Linked DNA regions of Rattus norvegicus. The protein of the gene in region 6 binds, or shares a complex with, the protein of the main gene of each other region. Links are inferred from orthologs where the notes say so. Each region holds a gene or a part of one and is shown on either strand. Other genes may lie near its edges. The genes, in order: Taf13, Tbp, Taf7, Taf9, Taf5, Taf3 and Taf11l1.

The links.
Region 1: Taf3 (region 6) and Taf13 share a complex: the UniProt entries of both Homo sapiens proteins name them as parts of the TFIID basal transcription factor complex. The link is inferred for Rattus norvegicus from reciprocal best matches to the Homo sapiens genes TAF3 and TAF13.
Region 2: Taf3 (region 6) and Tbp share a complex: the UniProt entries of both Homo sapiens proteins name them as parts of the TFIID basal transcription factor complex. The link is inferred for Rattus norvegicus from reciprocal best matches to the Homo sapiens genes TAF3 and TBP.
Region 3: Taf3 (region 6) and Taf7 share a complex: the UniProt entries of both Homo sapiens proteins name them as parts of the TFIID basal transcription factor complex. The link is inferred for Rattus norvegicus from reciprocal best matches to the Homo sapiens genes TAF3 and TAF7.
Region 4: Taf3 (region 6) and Taf9 share a complex: the UniProt entries of both Homo sapiens proteins name them as parts of the TFIID basal transcription factor complex. The link is inferred for Rattus norvegicus from reciprocal best matches to the Homo sapiens genes TAF3 and TAF9.
Region 5: Taf3 (region 6) and Taf5 share a complex: the UniProt entries of both Homo sapiens proteins name them as parts of the TFIID basal transcription factor complex. The link is inferred for Rattus norvegicus from reciprocal best matches to the Homo sapiens genes TAF3 and TAF5.
Region 7: Taf3 (region 6) and Taf11l1 share a complex: the UniProt entries of both Homo sapiens proteins name them as parts of the TFIID basal transcription factor complex. The link is inferred for Rattus norvegicus from reciprocal best matches to the Homo sapiens genes TAF3 and TAF11.

What each region holds. Positions count from the first base shown.
Region 1 is NC_086020.1:198,891,999-198,896,131, reverse strand, and holds the start of Taf13 (transcription initiation factor TFIID subunit 13), read right to left. Parts: upstream 2,801-4,133; 5' UTR 2,758-2,800; coding exon 2,731-2,757; intron 1,589-2,730; coding exon 1,510-1,588; intron 1-1,509. UniProt on the Homo sapiens protein: The TFIID basal transcription factor complex plays a major role in the initiation of RNA polymerase II (Pol II)-dependent transcription.
Region 2 is NC_086019.1:65,135,582-65,139,507, reverse strand, and holds the start of Tbp (TATA-box-binding protein), read right to left. Parts: upstream 2,801-3,926; 5' UTR 2,643-2,800; intron 6-2,642; 5' UTR 1-5. UniProt on the Homo sapiens protein: The TFIID basal transcription factor complex plays a major role in the initiation of RNA polymerase II (Pol II)-dependent transcription.
Region 3 is NC_086036.1:29,710,676-29,714,618, forward strand, and holds Taf7 (transcription initiation factor TFIID subunit 7), read right to left. Parts: upstream 2,650-3,943; 5' UTR 2,415-2,649; intron 2,038-2,414; 5' UTR 1,977-2,037; coding exon 951-1,976; 3' UTR 501-950; downstream 1-500. UniProt on the Homo sapiens protein: The TFIID basal transcription factor complex plays a major role in the initiation of RNA polymerase II (Pol II)-dependent transcription.
Region 4 is NC_086020.1:33,526,929-33,531,187, reverse strand, and holds the start of Taf9 (transcription initiation factor TFIID subunit 9), read right to left. Parts: upstream 2,801-4,259; 5' UTR 2,750-2,800; coding exon of another isoform or gene 2,722-2,749; exon of another isoform or gene 2,574-2,721; intron 2,546-2,573; exon of another isoform or gene 1,988-2,545; intron 646-1,987; coding exon of another isoform or gene 553-645; intron 1-552. Other genes in the region: Ak6 (adenylate kinase isoenzyme 6), read right to left, coding at 553-645, 2,722-2,749; cell cycle checkpoint protein RAD17, read left to right, coding at 4,208-4,249. UniProt on the Homo sapiens protein: The TFIID basal transcription factor complex plays a major role in the initiation of RNA polymerase II (Pol II)-dependent transcription.
Region 5 is NC_086019.1:255,902,774-255,906,273, reverse strand, and holds part of Taf5 (transcription initiation factor TFIID subunit 5), read right to left. Parts: intron 3,467-3,500; coding exon 3,229-3,466; intron 1-3,228. UniProt on the Homo sapiens protein: The TFIID basal transcription factor complex plays a major role in the initiation of RNA polymerase II (Pol II)-dependent transcription.
Region 6 is NC_086035.1:73,515,162-73,518,553, forward strand, and holds the end of Taf3 (transcription initiation factor TFIID subunit 3), read left to right. Parts: intron 1-894; coding exon 895-1,012; 3' UTR 1,013-1,048; exon of another isoform or gene 1,049-1,132; 3' UTR 1,133-2,892; downstream 2,893-3,392. UniProt on the Homo sapiens protein: The TFIID basal transcription factor complex plays a major role in the initiation of RNA polymerase II (Pol II)-dependent transcription.
Region 7 is NC_086028.1:74,278,259-74,282,546, reverse strand, and holds Taf11l1 (transcription initiation factor TFIID subunit 11-like), read left to right. Parts: upstream 1-1,488; 5' UTR 1,489-2,913; coding exon 2,914-3,537; 3' UTR 3,538-3,986; downstream 3,987-4,288. UniProt on the Homo sapiens protein: The TFIID basal transcription factor complex plays a major role in the initiation of RNA polymerase II (Pol II)-dependent transcription.

The DNA.
Region 1 (4,133 bases), on a different chromosome or scaffold from region 6:
CCTAAGGAGTATGATGGAAGGTTAACGACACTGTTAGTACCCCAGACTTCACTTTCTTGCCCTGATCAGTGCCTTAGTCCAAAGCCTCAACTTACATCGTTTGAAAGGTGGACACAAGAGGAATATAACATCATAGTCATCCCCAGCTACGTAATAAATACAAGACCAATCTAGGGTACATGAGACCCTGCTAAACACAGAAAGGGAAAAACAACAACAAAAACAAAGCAAACAAAAAAACAGAAAGGGGGAGGGGCAGCGGTGCAATGAATGTAGCTCAGTTAGTAGCTGAGTGCTAGCCTAACACACACAACTAGGGTCAATCCTTAGCTAAACAAACTGGGAATCATGACATATGGGCCTATGTGTAGCACGAGGGATACAGACAGGAGAAGTTCAAGGTCATACTCATCTACATACCAAGGTTGAAACCATACTGGGATATAAAAACCCTGCCTCAGCTGGGTGGCTGTGGTTCACAGTGTCAATCCCAGCACTTAGGAGGCAGAGGCAGAGGTGGAGGCATATGTATCTCTCTGTGAGTTCAAAACTAGCCTGATCTGCAGAATGAGCTCTAAGACAGCCAGAGCTACACAGAAAAACCCTGTCTCAAAAACCTCAAAGAGGGCTGGAGAGATGGCTGAGTGGTTAAGAGCACTGACTGCTCTTCCAGGAATCCTGAGTTCAATTTCCAGCAACCACATGGCAGCTCACAACCATCTGTAATGAGATCTGGTGCCCTCTTCTGGTGTGTCTGAAGACAGTTACAGTGTAATTATAATCAATCAATCAATCTTAAAAAAAAACTAAAAGAGGGGTTGGGGATTTAGCTCAGTGGTAGAGCGCTTGCCTACCAAGCGCAAGGCCCTGGGTTCGGTCCCCAGCTCCGAAAAAAAAAAAAAGAAAAGGAAAAAAAAAAAACTAAAAGAAATAAAATAAAAAAAACCCACCTCAAAGTGTATGTGTGGGTGGGGGGGAATCACATTCATTATTTTACGTCACAAAGAGAGAATTAGTATACATGATAAAGAGACTTATACCAACCACAGGAGGCACACCGGCAATCCCAATACTTGAGAGGCTAAGGCAGGAGGACTACCGCCACCCAAAGCTAGCTTGGGCTAAACAGTGAGCACCAATATAGCCAAGCCTATGCAGAGCCTATCTTTAAAAAAAAAGAAAGCAAAAACAAGGGGAGCTAGAAAGATGGCTCAGCAGTTAAGAGCACTAACTGCTCTTCCAGAGGTCCTGAGTTCAATTCCCAGCAACCACATGGTGGCTCACAGCCATCTGTAATGGAATTGATGCCCTCTTCTGGTACTCATATACATAAAATAATTTTTTTTTAAAAAAAAAGCAAAAACAAACAGGAATAAAAACAACCTTACAGGCAAGTCTGAGAACACTGTCCCTCTAAGCAAACATATGCAGAGCAATGTACCTACTCTCCAAGGACATGTTTAAAAGCTCTCACCACCTGTAATAAAAGCATTGGAAAGTACAACTTACGTTCTTTAGAGAAAAGTCTCTTTCTCTTCCCCTGGCCACCTTCTGCTCCTCCTCCAATTTCTTCATTTTCCTCCTCAAACTAGAAATTTAAAAATACAGAAATGTCAAATGATGGCAGTGCACGTGATATTCTCCAGAGTCTCCTCCTGCTCTCTCTTTTGAGTGCTATGAATTGAACCTAGGAGCTCACGATTCTAAACAGTTAATTGACCACTGAGCTACACTCCAGTGCCCTTTTCATCTTTTTTTGAAAGACATTTATTATTTATATGTATTGTGTGTGCCTACATTGACTATGCCTGCAAATGCCCGTAGAGGCCAAAAAAGGGGTCTAACTGCTGTAGGTAGCCAGATGCACTAAAGCAAAATCTCTAGACTTTTTTTTTTTTTTTTTTTTTGAGACAAGGTATGTGCCCGTCTGCCTGGAACTCAGAGATCCTTTTCTGAGTGCTGGGATTCAAAGTGTGCACCACCATGCCCAGTGACCCTTTTGCATTTTCAAAAGTGGTAAGCTAAGGCAAACAGCACAAAGTCATAGAAACTTAGCATCAGAGGGCTCTTATGTCCTATTCCACTTCTCAAGTCGTGCAAGAAGTCTTTTATTACGGCTCCTAACTAACAACCCTACCCGGGGTGTGTGTGTGTGTGAAGTTCAAATGGACGTCAGGTTCTGGGTTTGGTTTTAGCCCATTTAGTTGTCATACTGCTAAGCAATGCTACTACTGTAAAAGACCTGATAGTTTAAAATCTACTCTCTGCTGCCATCAGAAGCAACATTTACTAAGCACCTGTCAATACAGGGCTAAAAACTTTCCTTAACTGGGCTTGACCCTATCTCACGACAAGAAAACCGATGCCTTAAGTTAAATAACTCCAAAGGAGAATCTGGATCTCAAACTTCCTGACTTTAGTTCATCTTTTCTCCACTATTTTCACTAGTTTTGTTAGCAGATGGGCTGCTGGTTCCGCAGTATTTGCTTTGATCTCCTATGACTCTCTAGACTCTCAGTGTCAGGAAGATCCAGATCAAAAGGAGATCCTGTCTACTTTTCCTTCCCTTCCTGCCCCACGCACTGACTAAGGTAAACCGAAGGAAGAGGAAAACACCGCGGAGACCCCGAACTCTCGGCGGGATTCCCTAAGGCTCAGGAGGGTCAGACTCTGCCTCCGCTAGTGAGCCAGAGGGAGTGAGGAAACAGGCTGTGACGGGCGCTCACTCACGGTGGGATCTTCCTCCTCATCTGCCATGCTAGCAGCCCGCCAGCCTTCTGAGCCCGCCCAAGGGCGGCTCGCAAGATTTATAAGATATGTGCGTCACTTCCGGCCTGGCCGGAGTTGCGCAGATGGGTGTGCACTCTCATTCTCCTAACCCCGGCCTTGAGATTGGCTGAAAATCAGTGACGCGTACTTAGGCGTGGAATCCTGAAGAAGGGATTAAAAATTACAAAGATGCCAGGCGTGGTGTACTATACCGAAAAAATTCCGTGCACTTGGCCGAGGCAAGAGAGCTTAGAGTTCGAGACCACTCAAGCTTCATGAGCCCATATCTCAGAAATCATAAATGATAAATTTGTGCATACTAATGGAGACTCCCAAATGCCTGTAATTCCAGCTCCAGGGGAATATGATGAATTTTTGCCTCTGGGGCTGATGCATTCAAGTACACAAGCCCACATAGATATACTTTTTAAAAATATATATATAATCTTTATGTATATGAGTGTTTTGCAGACACGCATGTGTACCATGTGTTCGCAGCGCCAAAGAGGCCAGAAGAGAGCAACTAATTCCCTGAAACTAGAGTTAGATGATTGTGAACCGCTATGTAGGGGCTGGGAATCAAACTCAAGTCTTTGGAAAAGCAGCCAATGCTCTTAGCTGCAGAGCAATCTTTCCTGCCTCCGTAATTTTGTGTGTGTGTGTGTGTGTGTGTGTGTGTGTGTGTGTGTGTGTGTGTGTGTACATTGGGTTTTATGAGGGGGGTGGGTTTGGGTTTGGTTTTTTAATTACAAAAGATGTGCGGGAGAGATGGTACAGTCAGTGAAAGCTCTCACGGAATAAGACTAATATTCAGGTTTAATCCCTGGGCCTATATAAAAAGTGAAAGGTAAGAAGACAGATTCCACAAGGCTGTCCTCTGGCTTCCATACACAGTAATAAGTAAAACATTTTAAAATTATCAAAGAGCTAAGTGTGATGGCACACGTCTTTAATCCCTGCCTGGGGAGGCAGAGGCTGGAAAATCTCTGAGTTCAAGGTCAGCAACAAACAAAACAGCAGAGACATTAAATGCATTAGAAAGCTGGCAGCACAGAAAAGGTAGAAATAGGGCATAAAGGAAAAAATAAAAAGCAAAGGACTATGGACAATGCTAGCAGGGCTATAAACTATGAAGTGTGGATAAATTCAACCCTCTTAACTCAAACTCCAAAACAGAAACCGGGAATAACAAAGCAATGTAATGAGTAGATCAGACACAGAGCAGAGGGAACAGCCTGGGGTTCTTCTACAATTTCAGAGTGGACTCCAGAGTCCAGTTTAGGGTTGGAGGAAAGATATCAAATGACAGAAAAGTATCTCATAGCCAGCCATTCCTGAGGGTGGACAGGGCTCAGAGGGCAAGG
Region 2 (3,926 bases), on a different chromosome or scaffold from region 6:
TGATGCTGCTTGGAAAAATATGTTTTAAGTTTAATGGACACAGGTTTCATGCTCACACAAAATAAACACATAGAACTGTTTTGGAGTGTGTGTGTAAATGTGTAAATACACACACACACACACACACACACACACACACACACGAATATATGTATCCTTTACTCCCAAAGCCTAGTCTATGTTTCCTGTGACTCATGTAAAACCACCAACAAAACCAAAAACTTATGTGGCTGTGTGCTTAAATATTCTAAATATTCTAATAGTACTGAAAATTAAGGTATCGAGATCAATAGTAAAAATTATTGGAGAACGGGTTGGTAAGAAGTGGTTCAGTAGGTAAAGGCATGTGCTGCCTAGATCCTCAGATCCTAATAATCTGAGTTTAACCAAATGGTGAAAGGAGAGAACAGGCTCTCACAAGCTGATTCCTCACATAAAGGTAATTGATTTTATATGTGTGGGTATTTTGCCTACGTGTATGCCTGTATATCACTTTCATGCCTTGGTGTCTGCAGAGGCCAGAAGAGAGAGTCAGATGCCCTGGAACTGAGCCACCATGGCATCATATTAAAATAAACATGGGTCTTTGGATATACAATTTGTAACTTTGAAACCTGTGTGTTCTTTGTGAACTTAGACAATAAATGTTTAGATTAAGATCAAATTGTAGGGTGTGAGAGATGGCTCCAACCTGGTTCTCTGGAGGAGTAGGCAGTGCTTGTAACCTCTGAGCCATCTCTTTTAAGAACCAGCATCAGGGACCAGCCCTTTGTACCACCTTCACCCTCATGCCCCACCCCCAGCAAAGGCCTCGGCAAACTAAAGGCCGAGGGAAAACTAATTCGTAAGCAAACTGTACTGTAAGAAAAGAACACTTACTAGGCACTGTTTGTACAGCTCTATTAAGTCAATTCTGGTTTTATACCATTCCCAATACCTCAAGCTTAAAGTATCATATTGAACTGGACACAATATGCTTTAGGTAATCATTTTTTGTGTGTTCTAATTTTAATTAAAGGCAGACTAAACAACAGATGAAACATTAGCTCATTAGATCACATTAATTCAAACCACGCCTGGAACTGAGTTTCTTAAATCATCAGCTCTTTAGTGGTCATGGATGTGAAATATGAATATGGATTAGGAGACTATGAAATGTGCTCTCTTTTCCTTTGTAAAGGCAGTAGTGATAGAATCCAGAGCCTCCTAAATGGCAGGCAAACGCCCATCCTCAATTCCTTAAAGATACTTTATTTTTAAAAATCAGCTCAGTTCATATAGACCAATGGCTTGCTCAGAGATGCCATAAGAAGTGAACGAATCAACATTCCAGATACAAAGATAAAGAGGATACGGTCCTTATCAAACAGTTCGGTATAAAACAATACGGAGACAACTATAAATACTTAGCAAACACTAAAACTGCAGGCGTTTACGAAGTAAGGCAAGCTATTGGAAAGCTGAAACCAACATTAGTGTCTTCAAGACACCTGCACCTACCTATGACTGGTCTCGGCATTTGTGACCGTGAATGAATGTTATGGAAGAGTACAGATTAGAGTCAAGAGGTGGCAGAATGTTCTGCAGTCAAGAGCACTGCTGCTCTTCAGAAGGACTAGTTTTGATTCCTAGTACCCACATAGCTACTTACAACTAGCTATAAATCCAGTCCCAGGGAATCCAAAGCTCTCTTTTGTCTTCTATGGGCCCGGGCATGCACGTGATACACATAAAGACATATAAGCAAAACAGTCATATATGTAAATCTTTTAAAAGTTAAGACGGAATTGAAGTACCCTTTCCAGAGGTCTGAGCTCTCACAAAGCAGGGACAATCTAACACAGGTCTAGCAAGAGGAACAAAACCACACAAATCAGCACTATCGCAGTACAAGTCACAGACATGAAAGGGGGACAAAGCCTTGCATGTAGTATGTGACAGGCTTAGAATGTAAAGTCACTACAAAAGATGACAAAGCAGCTAGCTGTAGATAGGGTTGCATAATTCAGGGTATAAGATGTCACTACACAGACAATGGGAACAGTTAAAGGATGTTAAGGTGCAGTTTGAATATCTTCTTGGTCCAAGAGCGGATAAATCTGAGAAAACTGAAGACTGAAAATTCAATTTCAGAGATCACTGTTTTGGTTGGGGAAAAAAAAAAAGGCTGGATTTAATGTCCAAAGTATAACCAGAGATTTATCCAGATCACTTTCTGCAAACAAAGTTTACTGAACGCTCGCTTATATAAGACTGGGGAATGTGTAGTATCCTTCGCTGAGGTCATCTCACACCTGCAGACGATATTAAACTACCTTTTCTCATCTGCATCTTAAAACCGCAATAATCGCTGCACAAACTTATTTTTAGGTTGTTTTCAACTTTTGGAAACTGAGCCATCAAACTGAATATTTGGGAAACCAATTCTGCAGTCTTCAAGCGTCTGCTTCACCCAGTCCGGCATCTTTTCCCAGAAAAGCCTACCCGGAGTTTTGGAAAACCACGTTAACTCGAACCTAAAGACTGACAGCGTGTAAATAAAGAAGCGTGCGTTTTTATGTTAAGCTCGACTGAGCTTGAATCTCGAGCTTCTGACGAGATGCTCCGTCTCAAGAACCGCTTCCTAATAGAATTATTCTTACTGGGGACAAAACGAGCAGCCGCAGGCCTGGGTAAAACTGTCTTCCACCGGGGGAAGCAGCTGAGATGTACGGTGCGCCGAGCTGTCCGGTGCCAGCCCCTTGGAGAGGCTCACACTTGGCACTGGATTTCATGACCCCGCCGAGGCGGTGGTCCAGAGACTGGTACTCCCGGAGCCGCCGCAGCCCGCGCGGAGGACCGTTCCCCGCCCGGCCGCGCGCCCATTCCGCGTCTCCTCCGGCAAACTCCAGGGACCCGCTGCAGAAGTCGCTTTTGTTAAGGCCTCCAAGCAGAGAAAAGGATGAAAGAACCGTTACCTGGGCACTGCGGAGAAAATGACGCGACCGCAGAAACCTAGCCAAACCGCCAGCAGATACCCGCCACCGCTACCGGACTCGACCCCACCGAACGCCTGACGCACATCTGATGCCGTCACTTCCGCCAGTTGCGCTCTCGACTGGAGCCCGGCTTGTTGTGCTTAAACTGTGAGACACTCGTGAAAGAAAGGGGTTGGGTTGGTGTCCCAGCATTTTCGGGACCAGGCCTCTGACCGCCCTTTCTAGCTGTCAAAGAGAGATGTAGAGTGTGTAGCGGGAACAGTATTGGGGATGTGGCTATGGGGATCAGGCTCAAGCAAGCGTTCTACCACTGAACTGTATACATCCTCGATCTTCCACGTGTTGTTTTTGTTTTTTTGAGAGTTTCTCCTTGTCGCTCTGGCTGTCTTGGGACTCACTCTTGTAGAACAGGCTGGTCTTGAACTCAAGAGATCGCTTGGCAAGCTCACTGGGTCCTCCACTTTGCTCTGTAGAGTTGAATGATAGTAGTAGTTGCCTCTTAGAGATTTGTGAGATGGATAACGTGAATGGCAAGCAGACGCTTCTTATTATGTTCTCAGTAAATGTCAACTTGCGTCCAAAGAGGAACAGCAAAACAAGCGGCTTTGTAGTCACAGACTCATTTCTATTTTAACTCTGCTACTACCAGCTCTCGTCCTTGCTGTCACAAGAAAACGTCAGCTGTTTCTTAGACTGGTTCTTAATGCTTGATTTGATTCCAACATACCTTAATTTTTTCCTTCCATGGTTCACCTAGGCATATACATGTGTTGTTGTGCTTACTCCCCCCCCCCCCGGTGTGTGTGTGTGTGTGTGTGTGTGTGTGTGTGTGTGATAGAGAGAAAGAGAAAGAGAGAGAGAGAGAGAGAGAGAGAGAGAGAGAGAGAGAGAGAGAAGAGAATCTGTGTGTTGTGTATAGCTGTTGAATAGGTTGCCATATGCATAGAC
Region 3 (3,943 bases), on a different chromosome or scaffold from region 6:
AAATGCCTCAGAGAAAAATTCTATGTATGAAATTTTAAAATACCAGACCTGGTAACAGGCTTTCATAGTGGCAAATACTAATGAAATAACATGAACAAACATGCCTATTAAAAAAGCATAGCAATTAAAATGGCAACAGTTAAGAATATAATCTTAATCTAAGCAAGTGGAATAGTTCATCTGATAACTGTTTAACTGCTTCCAGTATTTTATAGATAACTTTAGTGTTTAATAAAAAGATATAGACAGATATCCTTCAATGAAAAGTAGGATAGTTTAAGAAGGCTCTGGACCGAGTGTTCACAAACCTCCAGATGGTGTAGGTAGGCCTGAACCATAATCTATAATGCAAAGATGAATTTCTCCATTTCCTTATCTGGTGTATTCCTTTTCTAAAAAGGCAAAACAACAGCATGTATCTTGATCTATACCACTCAGCCATTAAACTCCATGAGCTCACCTCAACTTTCAGTATTCATTGAAGAACAAGATAAGCAAAGTGAAAATTAGTAACTTTTATTGTGCAAAAAACAACTTTTATGAAAAAACTTGCATTTCTGTAACATGGAAACTTGCTGAGAAGGTAAAAAAATATATTTCTTAAAAAAAAAACAAAAAAAAAAAAAAAAAACACTCCATTGCCTGTAGGCTAGCTAGCTTCTTACTGATCTTAGCACCGAAGAATAGGACTAGAAACTTAGGAAACAAATTGTAATAAAGTCCTATGGTGAAGTGATTAAAAGCTCAGTGTTGTCACTTCACTAACCTTACACTACAACAAATCTGCCTATGTAATCCTATTTTCTTAAGAGTGAAAACAATCAACACAATAACTCCTAGCATTACAGGAAATAAGAATATTTCAAAGAAAAAAGAAGAATTTTTCAAGACCTCACTCTGAAAATAAATTCTTCTTAAGCTGACTAGTCTAAGGACTAAAGTCAACCTTTTCACTTCTCCAGAAGTGATTCCAGCTCTTCTTGCAAAGAGCTAAGCTGCTCCTTTTCCCGGTCTTCCTTCTGTTTGAGCTCATCCAGAACAGCTTGAAACCTGTTCTTCAGAGCCAGGTTTTCTACCTTCATGATGAGATCCTCCTGGCGCTTTGCTCTGTCTTGGGTTTCTTGAAGCTTGCCTTTCATATTATCAATCTGCTTCTGAATCCCCATAACCAACTGATTGGTTCCTTCATTTTCTTGGTGTTGTTCATCTGACTCATTTAGCTTGTCCTGTAGCTGTCTCTCCAGATCCTCTTCAGTGTCAATGATGTTTACATCTTCTTCATCTTCGCTGCTGCTGCTGAGGTCATTGAATATCTCTCGAAGCTCATCATGCTCTAGTGAGTCATGGCCCTGCCTGTGGCCAGACATTCCAGGAGAGGAGATATCAAGGCCTTGATTTTCTGCCTCCTTTGTTTCATCTTCAGCAATTATCTCCCAACGAGTACTGACAGCTTCTGCATCTGTACTCAGCAGCCGCTTTACTTCTTTTTCCACATCTGGAGATTCAATGTACTTCTTCTTTGCTGTCTTCCGGAACCTTCTCTTTCTGACATTTTTTAGAGGTAGAGTAATTCCATGGTTCCAAACAAATTTTTTCTCTTTGTCCTTATCTTTTTTCTTGTTTGCTTTGGGATCAGCAGTAGCAGCTGGCTCCTCCACAGGAGGGTATAGATCACCATCTACTGTGGCTACAAGCATCTGAGAGATATCAGCTGTCTTGTAAAAGGTTTTTTTATCAATGGTTTTCAAGCTCTCCGTAACACACGGCAAATCTACCAATTTTGCAGCCAGGGGCACTCTATCCACTCTGACAATCCCATGACGCCCATCAGGGTGTAACTCAATGCTCAGTCTATCTTTCAGGTTGACGTGCCCAGACTGCACTGCCCTCCTCACAGTAGCGGCATATTCTGGGGGCAACCGTAAGATAAACTGGCTCTCTAGCTCATGAGGTGCATCATCTTTGCTCTTACTCATCTTCACTTCCTTGTGAATTACTTCTCCAATAAACACCTGCTGCACTAACAAGTTCCAGCTCCTACAACAGTTAAAAAAAGGACAAGGTTAAGAATAATCTTAAACTCTTAGTTACTGAGTTCTAAGGAAAACAGCAACTAAGTGGATCATCACCTACTGCCTATTTTGTCTTAATTTATAATTAAGTCCCAATACTAATCTCTAAACATGCATCCCACTTTGGCATTGTCCCTGTTAAACTCACACCTCTACTAGATGCAATACCAAATTAGGGCCTCTAGACGCCGCTGCAGCATCACGTGAACAGCCAAAGAAAACAGCAGCGCCTGAGGGGATTTTAGGCACAGTCCGTCCGTCTGGCAGGCAATCCCAATCCACGGATTCTCTCCAGTAAGAGATTTAAATAAAAGTCGTGAGCTCTTCGGCTCGGGTACTTACAGTTCACCAGCAACTATGAACTCAGCTTTTCTCGGCCTGAGTAAAGCAGCGATGAGCGGTGCGTCTACCTTCCAGTTTGTCCGCGCTTTCAGCCGCCCGGCAAGGCGACCTGAGCGCTAACAACGAAACGGCTCAGGACCCGCAGCGCGAAACCTCGCCACACTGCCGCTCAAACATCCGAACTCCGGAGAGGACCTTGCCAAGCCTCCTCCCACGCAGAAAAGAAGGAAAGAAAGTGCTACGGCAGTGAGCGGAAGCAGACGCGGCGCTACGTCAAAGACCGGAAGTAGACGCGGAGGGGCTGGCTGCCGCTCTTCCGGAAGTAGTAACGTCGCGGCGCGCGCAGGCGCATTCTCGTAATTACGTCGTCTCGTGACTACTTCTCGTGAGAACTTACCTTGTATAGGATTAAAACTAGTGTTTCCGGAAAAACCTTGGCTTGGAATTCAAAGATGAAGATTCCAAAAAGTAAAACATAAGCACACCCCCTAAGACAGCACTTTTATGAAGTCGTGGGTTAAGACAGTTTCTAGAGTGATTGCCAGAGATAAAGGGCGTCCCTGCAGAAAGCATCTTTTCTTCCCAGGGCATACCCGGTCCCTCCGCCAAAAGCTTTGGAAGCATCACAAAGTGAAAGTAAAGTGGCCAAAACAGTGGAATGATACAGTTTTGCTGTCTACCACATAACGCTGTGTATAATCATGTTAATTAGCTTTGAGAGGAACTAAGCCTTTAGCTTCGTTAGTATTTTTGGCTCCAGAGGACGAGGTGTGATATGTATGATACGCTATTTTGGTAATATGTTTGATAGATATAACTGTATACAAATGTTTTTATGATGACACAGGTTCATTAAGAACAGAATTGCCTTGCCTGAAACACAAACGTTCTGATTTTGTTGTTGGGTATCCACCAAAGAAGGCTGCTTGGACATAGTTTTAAGCCAATATAAAGTATTAGCTAGCCAGCGACTACATTGGGTGTTCTGGATCCCAGTGTGGCCCTAAGGCTTTCTCAGGGTGAGCTTTTAAGCACAAACAAATGTTCTACATTGGCATGTTTCTGTTACAAAAACCACTTTCCAGAGACAGAACTACAGAAGCCAAAAAACAAGGTTAGTACATTAGAGACTTTCTCAAAACTATGAAATTTGATAATTAGGTCTGTTTTTGTTTTGCCCATTGGTACTGTCTGTACTGTTAGGGTTCTCTAGAGTCACAGAAATTCTGGAATGTCTGTATACATTAAGGGATTTTAATGTAATGATTTACAGTCTGTAGCCCAACTAACCCAACAATGGGCAGCTGTGAATGGAAAGTTCAAGAATCTAGTTTCTCAGTCCCACGAGGTTAGTTCTTTCACCCAGTCTTCTGTATAAACTGGAATCTTGAAGAAGTGGGTACCAACAGATGTGCTGGCAAGTAAGAAGTAAGTGCAAGCAATTGAAGAAGTGTGAGTCTTCCTTCTTCCAATGTCCTTATATAGGCCTCCTGCAGAAAGTATAGCGCAAATTAAAGGTGTGCAGCACC
Region 4 (4,259 bases), on a different chromosome or scaffold from region 6:
AAATTCCTTCTCTGAAATGTGGATATAAAAAGGATGACACAAATAAGTTAAATAATAAAAGATTAGGGGAAAAAAGGGGTAAATAAGTAAAAAATAACACTTTAGACTACATGCAGTGAGTCTGGGCATGCAACTGTCCAAGTGACTTTTAAAAAGTAATATGATAGTCATATCCTATTTGAGTTCACGGTAGTCTATCCTGGAGAGATCAATATAATGTCTCATACATTTAAAATCACCCAAACCTTTGTGTCTGCTGAGCCCACAGCATTTTCCCTCTTCCTCATATTCAGAGCTTATCTATCCAGTCTCCCAACAAAACCGTCACAATTTTTACTATTCTCAATAATGCTAGTTATTTTGGGGTAGGGAAGGGAAAATGTCCAAAATAACTATGTCATACTACTATCTATTATACATGTGATTTTCTTTCTCAGGCCCCTAGCAGAACATAATCACTCATTGCCAGGACCCTCTAGCAACACTTCACAGTCCTAACACTCTACTATACCTGACTTAAAAACAGAAATACAACATCAAAGAGACGCTTACCTTCCCGAGCTAGATCTCCCACATTAACGTACTTCAGGCCTGATCTTGATGCAAGTTCTTTGCCTAGTGTGGTTTTTCCAACCCCTGGTGTACCTGTAAGAGAAGCCACAGAAAAATGCTGTTCAAATCCTACTTACTACATGTCAGCCGTCTTCTGCCCTTACAGTTCTTGGTTCTTTTTTTTTTTTTTTTTTTTTTCCGGAGCTGGGGACCGAACCCAGGGCCTTGCGCTTCCTAGGTAAGCGCTCTACCACTGAGCTAAATCCCCAACCCCTGCCCTTACAGTTCTTAGACGGTATAAAATTTTTCTTAATTAGCAATCATATATGAATATACACCATGAACTAATAAAAATTCCCCAGAAAGCCTGGTATGGTGGTGCACGCCTTTAATCCCAGCACTAAGGGTGGAGGCAGGTGGGTCAATCTCTGTGACTTCAAGACCAGACTAGGCTGGTTTCAGGACAGCCAGGGGCACATAGCAGGACCCTGTCTCAAAACCAAACCAACCAAAAAATTCTCCAGAAATTACTGGGTATTAGTGTCAGGACCCTAATCTCCAGGGATAGGACTCCAAAAATTTTGATGCCAATCCTGCCTGCCAACATATAAAATTCCCAGCATAAAATCAGGCACTTCGGGGGTTGGGGATTTAGCTCAGTGGTAGAGCGCAAGGCCCTGGGTTCCGTCCCCAGCTCCAGAAAAAAAAAAAAGAAAAAAAAATCAGGCACTTGGGATACATTATCATTTGCTGCATTAACAAAAGCTTAAAAACATTCAATGGAAAAAATATAAGAGGTATGAGAAATATCATTACTACTATTTACACTAGTAACTTCCCCAGAGGGAACTACTGTAAACCAGTTTCTTACTCAACTTTCTATGAGTTTGTGTATGTCTACAGGATACTTGGGATGCATTTAAATATGTGTGCACATACACATTGTATATATCCACAGCATAGGTACCCTGTTGTATAAATGGCACTATACATTGTTCTTTGCTTTTCTGCCTTTATAGCTAATACCCTTTTAAGATAATCAAATGCATAATGTTCAAGCTTAAAATTACTTAAGTCAATTTGAACATTATAAGTAAAAATCACGACTCTACATTCTCATCCTATTCAATCTTATGATATGGCTCTCTCTCTTTTTTTTTCCCCATACATAGGGCTGGCCTTTGACATATGCCACCCCAGCTAGTCTATGTAAGTTCTGGGGATCCAACCCAGGGTTTCCTGCCTACTAGTTATAAGTTCTCTATCAACTGATTTCCATCACCAGGGTCCCTCTGTAGCCTTCTGGTTTCAGAATCTTAACCCCCCCAAGACACTGTCTGACCATGCAAATCAGGTATTGTAAAACGTTCCTCCTAAGAAACCTTAAAAGCTAGTGCGTAGAGCTGAGGCAGACAACAACCTTACGATTCATTACCTGACATCTACATCCATCCCATTTTTGTACGACTGGCCTTTGATGCTACTAGATGCTACAACTTAATATTTCTAATTAAAGCTCCGAAACCTTCCCCCGGCCCCCACGATCAGCTCCAGATCACCACAAACGTCCACAAACGCTCAGAAACCCCAACACTAAAACAACAACAAAGCCTGTGGCGCGAACGGAACTAAGAAACAGTTAACTAGTCACTTCTCTCCACAAGCATCCCAAAATCATCTACCGAAACCTCTTGGGAAGCAAACGGGGCATTAAAAAAGAAAAGAAAATGGGTGGCGATCAGGAAGGCCCAAGGGCTGGGGCACCCACCATTACCACATCACCTAACGGCTAAAAACTGCCTCACAGCACCCCGATTTAAAAAAACCCCTAGCCCGACCGCGACAAAGAATCAGCAGCCGGTCCTCCAGGCAAAGATACCAGATTGACAAAGGCTAAGTGTCTCCCGGGGCGGCGGGGCAACGGAGCAGGAGCCGGCAGCCGCTCTCCTTCTCGTCGCCGCGGCGCGTCTGGCTAACCGAACCTCCGCCTCCCCCGCTCCCCCTACCCCCTCCCCCAACGGTCGCGAGCGCCGGGTCCTGACGCGACCACGACACCGCACGCCGCGCGGCCTGAGGAGCCCCGAGGCCGAACACCCAGCGCCCCCCGGGACCTCACAGCACTCGACAAACCCCGGCCCGGCCTGGCCCAGTCCCGCCGCGCGCCCTAACCGGTGAGCAGGATGTTCGGAAGCTTCATAGTACTCCTTCACACGCAGCCAGCGCTTCGGCTCACGCGCTCTCCAGGGAGGAGCCGGAAAGGGCGGGCGGGCGCGTGCGCCCGCGGCTAGGTTCCCTCGAGGCCCTTCGCGGTGCTCACACTCACTTAGGACCCCCTTGGCTCGCACCAATGACTCCCCGGCCTCGGGAGGTACACTTCCACCGAATGGGGGGAAAGCACGGCGCCAAGCCTGGCCTGCGTTTCGGGTCAGGCAGTACGCTGGACGCCTACGTCACTCGCTCGCCTGCCGGCCCCTCCCCTCTGGTGCGTCGCGTAAGCGCCCGCAGTAAGGAAGGTCCCCAGGAGGCGGGCCGCCCTAGAAGCCTGCGGCTGAGCTGGGAGGGCTGGGCGGTTACCCTTCCACACTACAGCCTGGCCTCCTTCACATCTTTCCGCCCGCGAGGGGACGCAGCTCCCAGAAAGTAAGGACGACGACGCTTCCGCTTTTCTTATTAATGTCCTAGAGGCGTGAGACCCGCTTCGTCTTTACGCCTACCTGGGCTGTCCTCCGGACCCGCCCTCCAATATGGACTAGTGTAGGATGTAGGTGAGGAGCCCTGGCCTGAAGCCATGGTGCGATGTGTCAGCTCCGTTCTCTGTTGATTGCACAAACACCTAGGACTGATGTGTCCCTGTCCCCTGCGCAGTGTATGAGGTGGAGGTGGATCGGCTAGGGGTAGTCTTGAAGTTCTCGTTTATCTCCAGCGTAATTCACGAGCCTGGTATTTATCATCAGAGACAGTTGGTTTTTTATCCAAGGTGATGATTGTCAGTCTTGTTTTCAAAGAGCCCCGACCGTTGAGTATCTTTTATTTCGACAAGTATAATTTCTTAAGCAGACGTTTTTGTATCCTTTTAAAACGTCAGGCCCTAATCCTAAATTATAAGGGGAAGAGCATTTGTTATATTAGGTGGGAAAGATTTTAGCGGGTGGGCTTGTGTGTACCTACAACTCTAAAATAGACCAGTGCACTTCCGGTTTATCCGAAGTGACTGATGAGTCTTACTTCATTGTGTTTTTTCCTTTCTCTTAAGTTGTAAATACACTGTACTTTGCAGCGTGATATGAAATAAGAATTTAGGCATAAAAATGCTTATATGGGATTAGTTTTTCTTTATAACAGAAGGTAAGTGCACAAATATGTGGCTTTTCTGTTTCATTCTTTGGAGTTTATATGAAAACCTTTTTACTTATACCATCCCACCACAAATAGACTATCTGATACAATTGTAATCATTTAAAATTTACTTAAAGGTTTTAACATCTTTTTTGAGTCCACATTACATGGTTGATTTTGTATTTTGATATTGATCAGTATTAATCCTGTATTTATTGTTTTTCCTAATTTGTGATGTTTTTCTTTTTTCCACCAAGGTGAATTATACTTCAATATACTCTAAATTGTATGCTACTGATGGGAACTGTTAAAGTTTATAATGTCAGAAACTTTCCTTAGACCAAAGGTGTCTTCTACAAAGGTATGACATA
Region 5 (3,500 bases), on a different chromosome or scaffold from region 6:
AGGTAATCTGCTTCTCCCCTGCTTCTCCCTCATACACTGATAAACCATCCCAGAATCATATGTAGTTTATAATTATATATTTATACTATAAAGTATATAATGTAACTACATAAATAACCCTGACTAGGCTGTAGGATCAATAGTAATTCAAAATGATTATAATTCAGTTTCTAAAATCACCCTTAAAATGACCAATTTCTCTAATGAAATGTGTCATAAACATTTCAGGAGAAAGTTCTTTAATGAAGCAGTGAATGAGACATCTGAGCGGACTCACTAACGGTATGTATTTCTTTTGAAAAGTATCTTTGACCCATGGCGACATACGCCTTTAATCACAACACTCAGGAGGCAGAGCCTGAGCCTGGATCTCTGAGTTTGAGGCCAGCGGGACTACAAAGTGAGTTCCAGGACAGCCAGGGCTACACAGAGAAACTCTTGTCTTGGAAAAAAAATTAAAAAAAAATCTTTGGGAATACATAAAAACGTCAGAATCCTTGCTTTACTGAATTTTGCGCTTTCTCAAAACCTCTTTAAAACTTTTTATTAAAAACATTTCAAACACAGGAGTAGAAAATAGTATGCCTTCAATGTACTTATCACAGGACATGATTCTTATAAGCCTATACATTTTAATTACTTAGGACATTAAAATCAATACTTTAATAAGGATAAAGTAAAGAACAAATATTGGTACTAAACAATAAGCACTTCCATATTTTCACTATTATCAAGGCAATTAAGTAAAGCCTTCAGTCTTGGTTATACCTTATAGTTTAAATATACTCTTGTTTTTACAAGTCTTGGCTTATTTTGCCTTCATTTGGGCATGGGGTCCTAGCAGACTGTCTGTAATGGGAACAGAGAGCCTTTTATTACAGCCCATCTTTCTCCATGGAAAAGTGGCTATCCCAGGAGACTGAAAGAGCAAGACTGATGCAGTACTACAAAAGAAAATTAGCTTCTAAGCTGGGTAGTGGTGGCACATGCCTTTAGTCCCAGCACTCAGGAGGCAGAGCAAGTTCAAGACCGGCCTGGTCTACAGAGTGAGTTCTAGGACAGCCAGGACCATTACACAGAGAAACCCTGTCTCAAAAAAAAAAAAAAAAAAAAAAAAAAAAAAAGAAGAAGAAGAAAAAAAGGTTTCTAATGTAAAATATTATCATCAGCCCAAGAGAAGGGAGAGGGCTGAGCCCCAGTTTGCTTTCTGTACCTTCAATTAGGAATCCAAGCATGATGAGTGGGTAATAGCTTTTAGGAGTTCTGTTCTTCCCCTACCACCATCATCGTTCTGCGACAAGTCCTGACTTCAAGCTCTGTGGCTTGCACTGAAGTGCTCTCATCAGGCAGTCAGCCCTGCCTCCTGGCATCTGTAAGGATGCCTTCTGGAATTTTCCCTATGTCTCCACCTTTCCCTTCTCTGTATCCTGTACCTGTTAAATGTTGGAGCTCCTCAAGCCAATGTTGGCTCCAGAAGCTCCTCCCCTCTCAGCTAGTACATAGGGAACAGGATTACAGTACAGGAGGACAGAGGGACTATTGGCAGACCAGTCTTGGAGGTACTGGGGTTTTTTTGTTTGGTTTGGTTTTGAAGACATGGTTTCTCTGTGTGGAACTCATGCTGTAGACCAGGCTGACCTTAAACTCAGAGACCCACCTGCCTCGGTCTCCCAAGTGCCAGGATTAGAGTCATGCACCACCATGCTGCACATGGTTATTGCTTCTTAATGGTTCTTAAATTAGTCAAAAGCACATTTGAACTAGAACTAAAGATTAGTAACCCTACTAATGTCCTCCTCTAGGGATTCCTACAGGAAAGCCATCCTTCTCCAGTGGACACACCAGAAATCTGGGTTATCAATGGTGTCTCACCTCCATATCCAACCCAACATGCGTGGGTCAGTCTACTTTTCACTTCATCAGCAGATTCTTGTTTCTCAATAGCGATGCTACTGATATATTAGGCAGGACAATTCTCTGCTAAGTAGAACTATCTATACATTCCATAATAGTTACTATCATTCCCTCCTCCCCAACAAACAAATATGCCTCAACATATTTCTAAGTGTCATGGGAAAGAGGACTATCACCACCATTAAGAAGCAGTTAATAACCCTAGGCATCCAATAGTCCTTCTGTCCCTCACCATCTGTTTGTCTTTTAAAATGCTCACTTGGGTCCTGGTGGGAGACCATGTATAATCCTAGCACTCAGAAGGGAGAAGCCAACAGAGCTCTGCAGGTTTGAGGCCAGCCTGGTCTACACAGTGAGTTCCAGGCTAGGCAGGACTACACACTATAAGATCCTGTCTTAGGAAAAATGACAAAAACTGCAATTAATGAAATGACCCTCTAGTGACATCTGTAGCAGAGATGCCTTACCGTCCCCAAATGCTCATTTTAACTTCTTTCCTCCATAACTAAACCCCTGGCTGTTAGCTGAGGACAGGCACCTCAGGGAAGATCACATTTTCTACATCTATAGCTAGGGACAGCCACTGATAAAAAGTTAGAAAAAGAAAGTGTCAGCACCTTCCAGGAATGTGTGCCTTTCTTGCTGACTATAACAGTGCTGGGACTACTTTCTGACAGAGGCCCAGCTTGTACCACAGAGTGGAAGCTTCATGACAAGGACAATAATTCCTGATGATCGAGGATTTACCTATCAGCCCCAAACCTTCTACCTTTATGAGAAAATCCAACTTAACATTTTATTCAAGCCTATTGTTTGGGTGGTTAGTCATCTTCTAATCCTAACACAGCCTCCTACTGTTCTTAGAATAAAGTTTTTATTCATAATCATTGAGTTTTCAGTGACTCTCAACCAAACCTAATCTCATCCAATACAAATCCCTACTATTCCTATGACAGAGACCCTCAGCACAGTCCAAGAACCTGCCTGTTGCTGCCAACTGAATGCTATACCACAGCCCTGCACCATTCCCTGCCTCAGCCACTATGAGCTTCTTTAGCCTCTGTAACTACCAAGATCCCTTCCCCCACAGACCACTCCAGGTATGCTCCCGCTTTAACTGGCTAACTCCTCGCCCTTCCTCAGATCGCCCTACAAGTCTGTTTCCTCTGGAGGATCAATCCTCCTGCTGCCCCTGTGCTGGGTTCATACTGCCCAGGCACCTGTCCTTCACAAAACGCCTTCTGGTTTACATTCGTGTGGTTACAGATGTGTGTTTACAGACATATATAGATAAATATGTTAAGATTCACATACTTCTCAAAGAATGATTTTGCTTCACTTTCATGTTGATTATAAACTAGCTCCAAGTACATATGTACAAACAGAGGATAAAAGAGTTGGGATAATTCTGCTCGATGGCAGTCCAGAGAACATTCAATGAAGTGTTTCAGTCCACTGTAGTATTCTTCATACATTGTAGGGTCTCCTTGTTGGTTGTAGGCCGACAAGACAGCACTGACATCTGGCTGGTCTTCCACAGCTACACTTGCAACTGTTTAAAAAATGAATGACAACTTTTAAGAAAA
Region 6 (3,392 bases):
ACCTGGGCTACCTGAGACTCTTTCCCACCCTCAGCCTCTCCCCCCAAGTGAAACATACAAGCAAAGCCATTGCATTATACTCTTCCTGATGGAAAGAACAAATAAACTAATTAGTCTCACTATACAGAAGGCGCTATATAATATAGCCCAAATACCCAGCGTAAGTGCTACAGTGTTTGGGCAGATTTCTGGTGTATACATCATTTTTGGCATTTATTTTCATTGCGGGATTGGAGCGTGCTGTATTGGTTTGCACACCATTTCGTTCCCTGTTTCTGAGCACAGCACGTGGCTCAGAGACCGCGTGCTGTTGGGCATCATGGCCAGTGTCTTCATCTGTTGAGCCACCATGCCTTAAAGATTCATTTTAAAGCACCAGAAGAGAAGGGATTGGTTTACCTCAGTTGGTAGAGTGCTTCCTTAGCATGCAGGAGGAGAAGCCTTAGGTTCCATCCCCATAGCTGCAAAAGCTGACTGTAGGGTGCACACATCCCAGCTTAGGTAGTAAAGGCAGGAAGATCAGGAGTTCAAGGTCATCCTGGGCTACGTAAGGAGTTCAGAGCTAGCCTTGACCGTACCAGGAAGAAGTGACCCCTTTGAAAACATGGCACAAGGGCTGAAGAGATGTCCCCATGGTAAGAGCACTGTCTGCTGCTGCTTCTGGGAGCTCGCAGTGGGCTGCAACTCCACTTACAGGATCAGACACACTCTTCTGTCCTCAGGCAGCACCAGGTACACAAAAAATACACAGCCAAAACACCCGTACATATGACACACAATAAAAACTTGGAAGTTTCTTTCTTAGGAAGCGTACAGCTTGCAGACCCTGCCTCAGGAAAAAGAAGTTACAAACAGTAAGAAACTTGGCTAACGTGAACTTGTTTTGGTGTCTAGGCCCTGTGTGGGAATCATGGCTGCTCCTCCGGAAGAAATGCAGTGGTTCTGCCCCAAGTGTGCCAACAAGATAAAGAAAGACAAGAAGCACAAGAGGAGGAAGCACCGGGCACACTGACGTCTGCGTGGGCGGGACTGCTGCCCCGCACCGGGCGCACTGACCGGGCGCACTGACGTCTGCGTGGGCGCACTGACCGGGCGCACTGACGTCTGCGTGGGCGGGACTGCTGCCCCGCAGCGGGCCGGGGCTGGCCCAGTTCTGCCATCCGTCTCCCCCAGGCCCTGTGGACAGCGCATCCCCAGGAGCAAGGACAAGAACATGCCATTGCTCTGGACGCTCCCTTCTGAAACACACGGGCCTGAGCTCCCACAGCATGTTGCTGAAGAGAAACTCCAGTAGAGGCCTGGCCTGAGGGCTGGCACCTCCATCTGCCTATTACCAGTGACAAGTATTAATAAAGACACCACACATCTTCCCTCTTGACTTCCTTCTTCTCTCAGAACCTTTATTCCGGTGTTAGGTAAGACGTCTGTACAAACGCCCAGACTGACTGGAGGATGCGTCAGTCGCTCTACAGTTTGCAAGCCGCTCCCTCCCTCCACAGCGAGGTGACCCGCAGGAGAGAGCGCTCCAGTCAGAGGACTGGTAAATATTTTTGTGATGAGAGTATATGAAGCCCCCCACCTCACCCAACTTTTATTACTAGCGTGTAAAATGTTCAGGCTTTTGTGAGATACCTTATATTTTTTAAGAAAAGGGTTTCTATCATGTCCTGTCCACCTCTGCAAATTCTTTTCATTTAGCGTATTTTATAACTTGGATTCTTATTCTACTGTGTGAGCTGCTGGAGTCCCTCTCGCTGCGTGTGCATCCCATCAACTTGTATAAAACTCTTGATACTGAGAAAAATCCCCCACTGTAAATAATAAATATTTATGAAGTAGTTATTTTTAAAATTTTTTTATCGTGTTTAATTCTGGCTTTCTCTGGAATCCACTGTGATTTCAGCCATGTCTGTAATTGCTGCTGTACATAGGCAAAGAGAGAGAAGGGCCCAGACCATGTCCCTCCCTAGACACCCTGCCCACATGGCGGGCAGAGGACCCTAGCAATTGGAAGGAAACAAGGCAATTGACACCTCGAGTCAATGGCTTGAAATCGTTTTGTTTGTTACATATTTCCTGTAAATTTCTCTCACTTTTACTAAAAGGACATGTAGTTTCCACAAAAGTAAAAAAAGAAAAAATACTGTAGCATTTTGTGTTTATATTGTTTTATTTCTACAGATTTGTTCATGGATATTGTGCTTTAAGGTTGAAATGAAGTATATTATGGATTTTTTTAAGAAAACTCATCAAATTTCAGGGTATCACAAAACTTTATTATATTGCTATACTGCCCACTATTTATTATATGTTATAGATATCTGAAACATAAACCAAATGTTTTATTTTTAATGTAAAAAAAAGCATCAAATTTAACTTTATTAGCATATTTTAGTGGCTTTGAAATAACTATGGACCTTTACTTGATTTTGAAATAATCCCAATCTGGGCATGTGTGAAGGCGATCTTGAATGTTAGAACTCGGAATTTGAACCTAATACAAATATATGAGTAGAAATGTGATTTTTTTTTTACTGCCAACTCAATTGACATTAGTATTATAGTCACTCCTATTTTAAAACATATAATGTGGTTTCAGAAATGTGGTTCTCTGCCTTGATGTTAAATTGCAGAACAGTGGTAACGGAGTCAACCTGCGAAGAGTGTGGAAGTCACTCCCCTCCTTGTTCTAGAAGCCAGAAGTTTTCGTCACCCCTGCCCCCCAAAAAGTATCTATGTCGAGATATGTGTCTCTTTTCTTTTTCATTCACTAGAGATCATTCTAAATACTTTATACAATATTTTCACATGCACAAAGAATACCCATTAGTGCTTTTTGGAGAAGACGAAGGATGGGGGAAGTACAAAATAAAGATTATTGGCTGTTTCGTAGCTTGCTTTTCCGTCTTCTTTATTTAGGAATCGGTTCCCTGAGGCATGGTCAGTGGATTTGAAGTCGCCACGTCTAAGTGAGCAGGTCGCACCCCTGAAGTAAGAAAGGAGATAGAACTTTTTCCCGTTCCTCCAGTCTGAGAGTCTCCAGCTCACATAACATTTAAGAAATTTCAATCAATTTGTTGTCCCTTGCTATTTCATGGTTGCTTTCCTAAATCCAGTCCATGATTTTATAAATGGTCTTTGCAGTAATAAAAACCAAAGAATCATTTTCAGGGGGCTGGATGGCTCAAGGGATTAGTAATGAAATACAGAGCCTTTCACCTCTAGGTCAGTGAGTCGAATCCAGTCCAGGTCACTAAAGACCCAAAGTTGTCACCATCTTATGACTCTTCAGTGGCCCGTGCAAAGCATACTGGTGGCTGCAGTCTCCACTAGACGGGCTGTCTGACAGCAACCTAAGGAAGTTTAAGAAACTTAAAAAGTGTGGATTAGAA
Region 7 (4,288 bases), on a different chromosome or scaffold from region 6:
AAATGCAGATTTTTGAAGGGCCGATCACCCTGTCTTGGCAGAGCTTATCAGTCAACTATTCTGCATAATTTGTCCTTTTCTGGACAATATTAGTCTGCAGATGAAACAGGCAGCTTTGTGTAGTGGCTGCCTAGCCACAAAGTATTGCCTTACCTGAACAAATTCTTCATTAAATCTGCCAAAGGGGAACTGTTAGGAGCAGCTACGTCTCAACAAAAGATAAATAACTTTAAGTCTCAAATTTTGTGGATTTCTGACGTTTTTGAAGACCATCCATCTATATAAGACAATCTGGACTGTTGTTTTCATATCTTAATATTTTTTTTTTGGTTCTTTTTTTTCGGAGCTGGGGACCGAACCCAGGGCCTTGCGCTTCCTAGGTAAGCGCTCTACCACTGAGCTAAATCCCCAGCCCCTTCATATCTTAATATTATCTTGAAAGTGCTCTCACAAAGTCAGAGCCATGAATGTGCTATTTGGCCCTTAACTCACATATGTAATCAACTCAGAAGTTTGTATTGACATAATTAGAAGGACTGGCTCTAAACCTTGTACTTTTAAACTTTTTTGACAAATAAATTCTATACCAAAACAAAGATATGATTTTAGCTTAGTTACCAAATGAGATAATGACTCTACAACTCAATCTAGCTAATTCCTCCCTGTTAAATTACAACCATTTCTAAGTTCCTCATAAAAACAACTTTAGAATAACTGCTTTCAGCCCCCCAAAAGTCCAGGGAATTGGGGCGACGACTCCTCCATAACTTCCTCAAGCTGTACATGGGCGTTGAGCTATCCTTGGGGGTAGGAGGCAGGAAGAATGAAGCAAATGCTGAGCAGATGTGTCCTGACTGGACCCAGCCGAAAGTCCTTGAGACCAGGAATCCAAGGAGGCACACAATACAACAATCAAGACAAAATATAACCATAATATATATAACCATAAAACTCAAGGTCACGGGCTGGAGAGATGGCTCAGTGGTTAAGAGCCCCGACTGCTCTTCCAGAGGTCCTGAGTTCAATTCCCAGCAACCAAATGTAGACACCCCATCTCTGACTTCCTCACCAGCGGTGCCTAGGTATCCAGAGAGGAAACTGGGAACCACACCATTCAACCCAGACCCCTCTGTTCCCATTCTAGTTCTGTGGGTAGCAGTGCCTGACATCATCCAGAAGGGAAACATTCACTGTGGACCCCCTGTTCTGGCTTTTGTTATGCCGCTCAGGGCTGGCATGATGGTGGCTGCTAGACACCTCCAGCAGAGGCAGAATGCAGTATGACATCAGAGCAATGTGAGTTCTTTATTTTTTATTTAAAAAGACAGCCAAGAGCTGGAGAGATGGCTCAGTGGTTAAGAGCACTGACTGTTCTTCCTAGCAACCACATGGTGGCTCACAGCCATCTGTAATAGGATTTGATGCCCTCTTCTGGTGTGTCTGAAGATAGCTACACTGTATTCATATACATAAAATAAACACATTAATTTTAAAAAAAGTCAGCCAAATCTTTATTGGGAAATGGGTCCCTAGGAAGTGAGCCTGGGGCCCTCGTTGCACATCTTGTTCCTTAGCACTGTTCCAAGAATTCCTTTTTTTTTTTCTTTCTTTCTTTTTTTCAGAGCTGGGGACCGAATCCAGGGCCTTGCGCTTGCTAGGCAAGCGCTCTACCACTGAGCTAAATCCCCAACCCCTGTTCCAAGAATTCTTTTTTTTTTTGGGGGGGGGGTTCTTTTTTTTTCGGAGCTGGGGACCGAACCCAGGGCCTTGCACTTCCTAGGCAAGCGCTCTACCACTGAGCTAAATCCCCAACCCCCCAAGAATTCTTCATCGCGTCTCGTGTTGTGGAGAACTAGAAAAGGTGTAAATATTGCAGGCCTTCAAAGGCATCGTCTGCTCTGAAAGCCAGGTCCACTGTGACTGAGGGCCTGTGGCTTTGCTACCTGTTTAGTGAACCATGTGCTCGACTCCTTGGCCTCAATGAAGTTGGTGGTCTTCTTGTGCCGGATCATGAGAAACACTTCCATCCCTGTGACTGACTGCTTCTGACTTGATGCACCAGACCTGAGCAGTGTCAACAACAGGCATTAAATATTTTAATTGTGTGCAGTGCAGACCTGGCGCAGACGCGGTCCACGCCCAGCGAAACCGCCCATTCGACAGCTGGGGAAGAACGAAGTGGGCACACTTGTAGGAGCTTCCCGAAGTGCTCGCCTTCCCAAAGATTTGGGAACCTCATGGGACTGGAAATGATCCTCATTGGTCCAGGCACTGTAGAAACAAAAGAAATGTGGGAACGGGATACTAGCTCTGTTCTGACGGGAGGCAGGTAGCCAATAGTTGAAGCATTGAATGAAATCGTTGGATATATTCTATTGGCACTAGAGATGCTTGCGGTACAGAAGAGAAGCCCAAGCAGTTCCCTGGTGGACCCAAGCCGCGGATCTCAGTTCTTTGGAAAATACGAGGTTGAGTCTCTGCCGGAAATTGCTCAGTCCAAGGCAGCAACAAGCAGCCGGACGGAGTTTTCGCCCCGTTCCGGACTTTGCGCTCAAGTTAACGGATTAATTGGCATTACATTTCCAGGAAGGAAGGAAAAAAAGAAGTCTCTCGGTAAACGAATTGTACGCCCTTTCGAACACGCTTCTACCCTAAAGCGGAGGATCTATACTTTTACATTTCTTTCTGGTTAAAACAAAGTCAGTATACAAGAAGACCCTGAGCGATCGAGACTCTGAAAATGACCCCTCCCAGGAGCCGTGGGCGTGACGTCATCGCGGCGCGACCACAAGCAATAAGGACCAGCTCCAAGCCATAAGCCTCAGCTATAATATAAGTCCCGCGGCAAAACTCGCTGACCCTCACTCCTTCGCCCGGCCGCGCTGCCTTCGCCTCTAACCCCCTCCTGTCGCGATGGAAAACCTTGGAGAGTCGCCCACGGACAAAGGCGGGGAGTCAGAGGAGTCGAGGGCTACTCCTGGGAACCCGTTAGCGGCAGACACTGAGGGAATCCCTGAGGAAACCGATAGGGATGGAGACGTGGACTTGAAAGAAGCCGCGGCAGAGGAAAGGGAGACCAAGAGTCAGGATGTCTCAGGTTTGACAGCAGTTGAGAGGGAAGACTCATTTCTTACTCCTGCAGCCAAAAAGCTGAAACTAGAAACCAAAGACAAGAAGGAGAAGAAGCAGAAGGTGGACGAAGATGAGATTCAGAAGATGCAAATCCTGGTCTCTTCTTTTTCTGAAGAGCAGCTGAACCGTTATGAAATGTATCGCCGGTCAGCTTTCCCGAAGGCAGCCATTAAAAGGCTGATCCAGTCCATCACTGGCACCTCTGTGTCTCAGAATGTTGTGATCGCCATGTCTGGCATTTCTAAAGTTTTTGTCGGGGAGGTGGTAGAAGAAGCCCTGGATGTGTGTGAGAAATGGGGAGAAATGCCACCCCTGCAGCCCAAGCACATGAGGGAGGCCGTGCGGAGGTTGAAGTCCAAGGGGCAAATCCCCAGCTCAAAGCACAAGAAAATCACCTTCTTCTAGATCTAACAGAGACTGTTCAAGACTTTCCGTATAGTTGGGCTTCTGTACTGAGGCTTTGTTGGTGGTGAGCCCAGGACACTTGATGCTGACTTTAATGTTTCTGTTACACCTACAAGGCACGTAGTGTGCCTCAGACTTGCCTTCACTCAGTCATAGACTGTCCTCAGGCATGTTGAAGAATTTCACAGACTCTTGGCTATTTTTAAGAAAAAATACACAGGGACTGTTAGTATCTCCTGGAGAGGGAGATGATTTCAGAGAAAAACAAGACAACTACAGTTTCACATTGAAGCCTAAAGTGGCTAAGATTCAGGTTGTTTCGAAACAAACTTTCTCAATAATCTGCTGTGAAGACAGTCACACCATAATTCGATTCTCACCGTTAACATTTCAGGTTGTCCTGTGTATTTTGTGAGGGATTATTAAACTTTTCCAACCTGTGTGGGAAACTTTGTTTTATTTTGTTGCAGACAAAACTTATTGTCCTTCCAATAAAACTTGGATTTTTTTTCCTTGTTTAAAAATACAAAACAAAACTTTTAATTGCCCTGGGGCTGAGTTTCTCTGACCCTGACCCAGAATGGTTGAATTCAATTTGACATGCCCTGTAGGAGGCCCCTTAGGGGGTTAATCTGAATTCATTAGCCTACTACTGGGCTTTGCCACACCTTATGCCTACTGCAGAAGGCTGAGCTTTCTTTTGGATTACTTCTAGAAAAACAACAACAACGAAAAACATTGTGCCTACGAA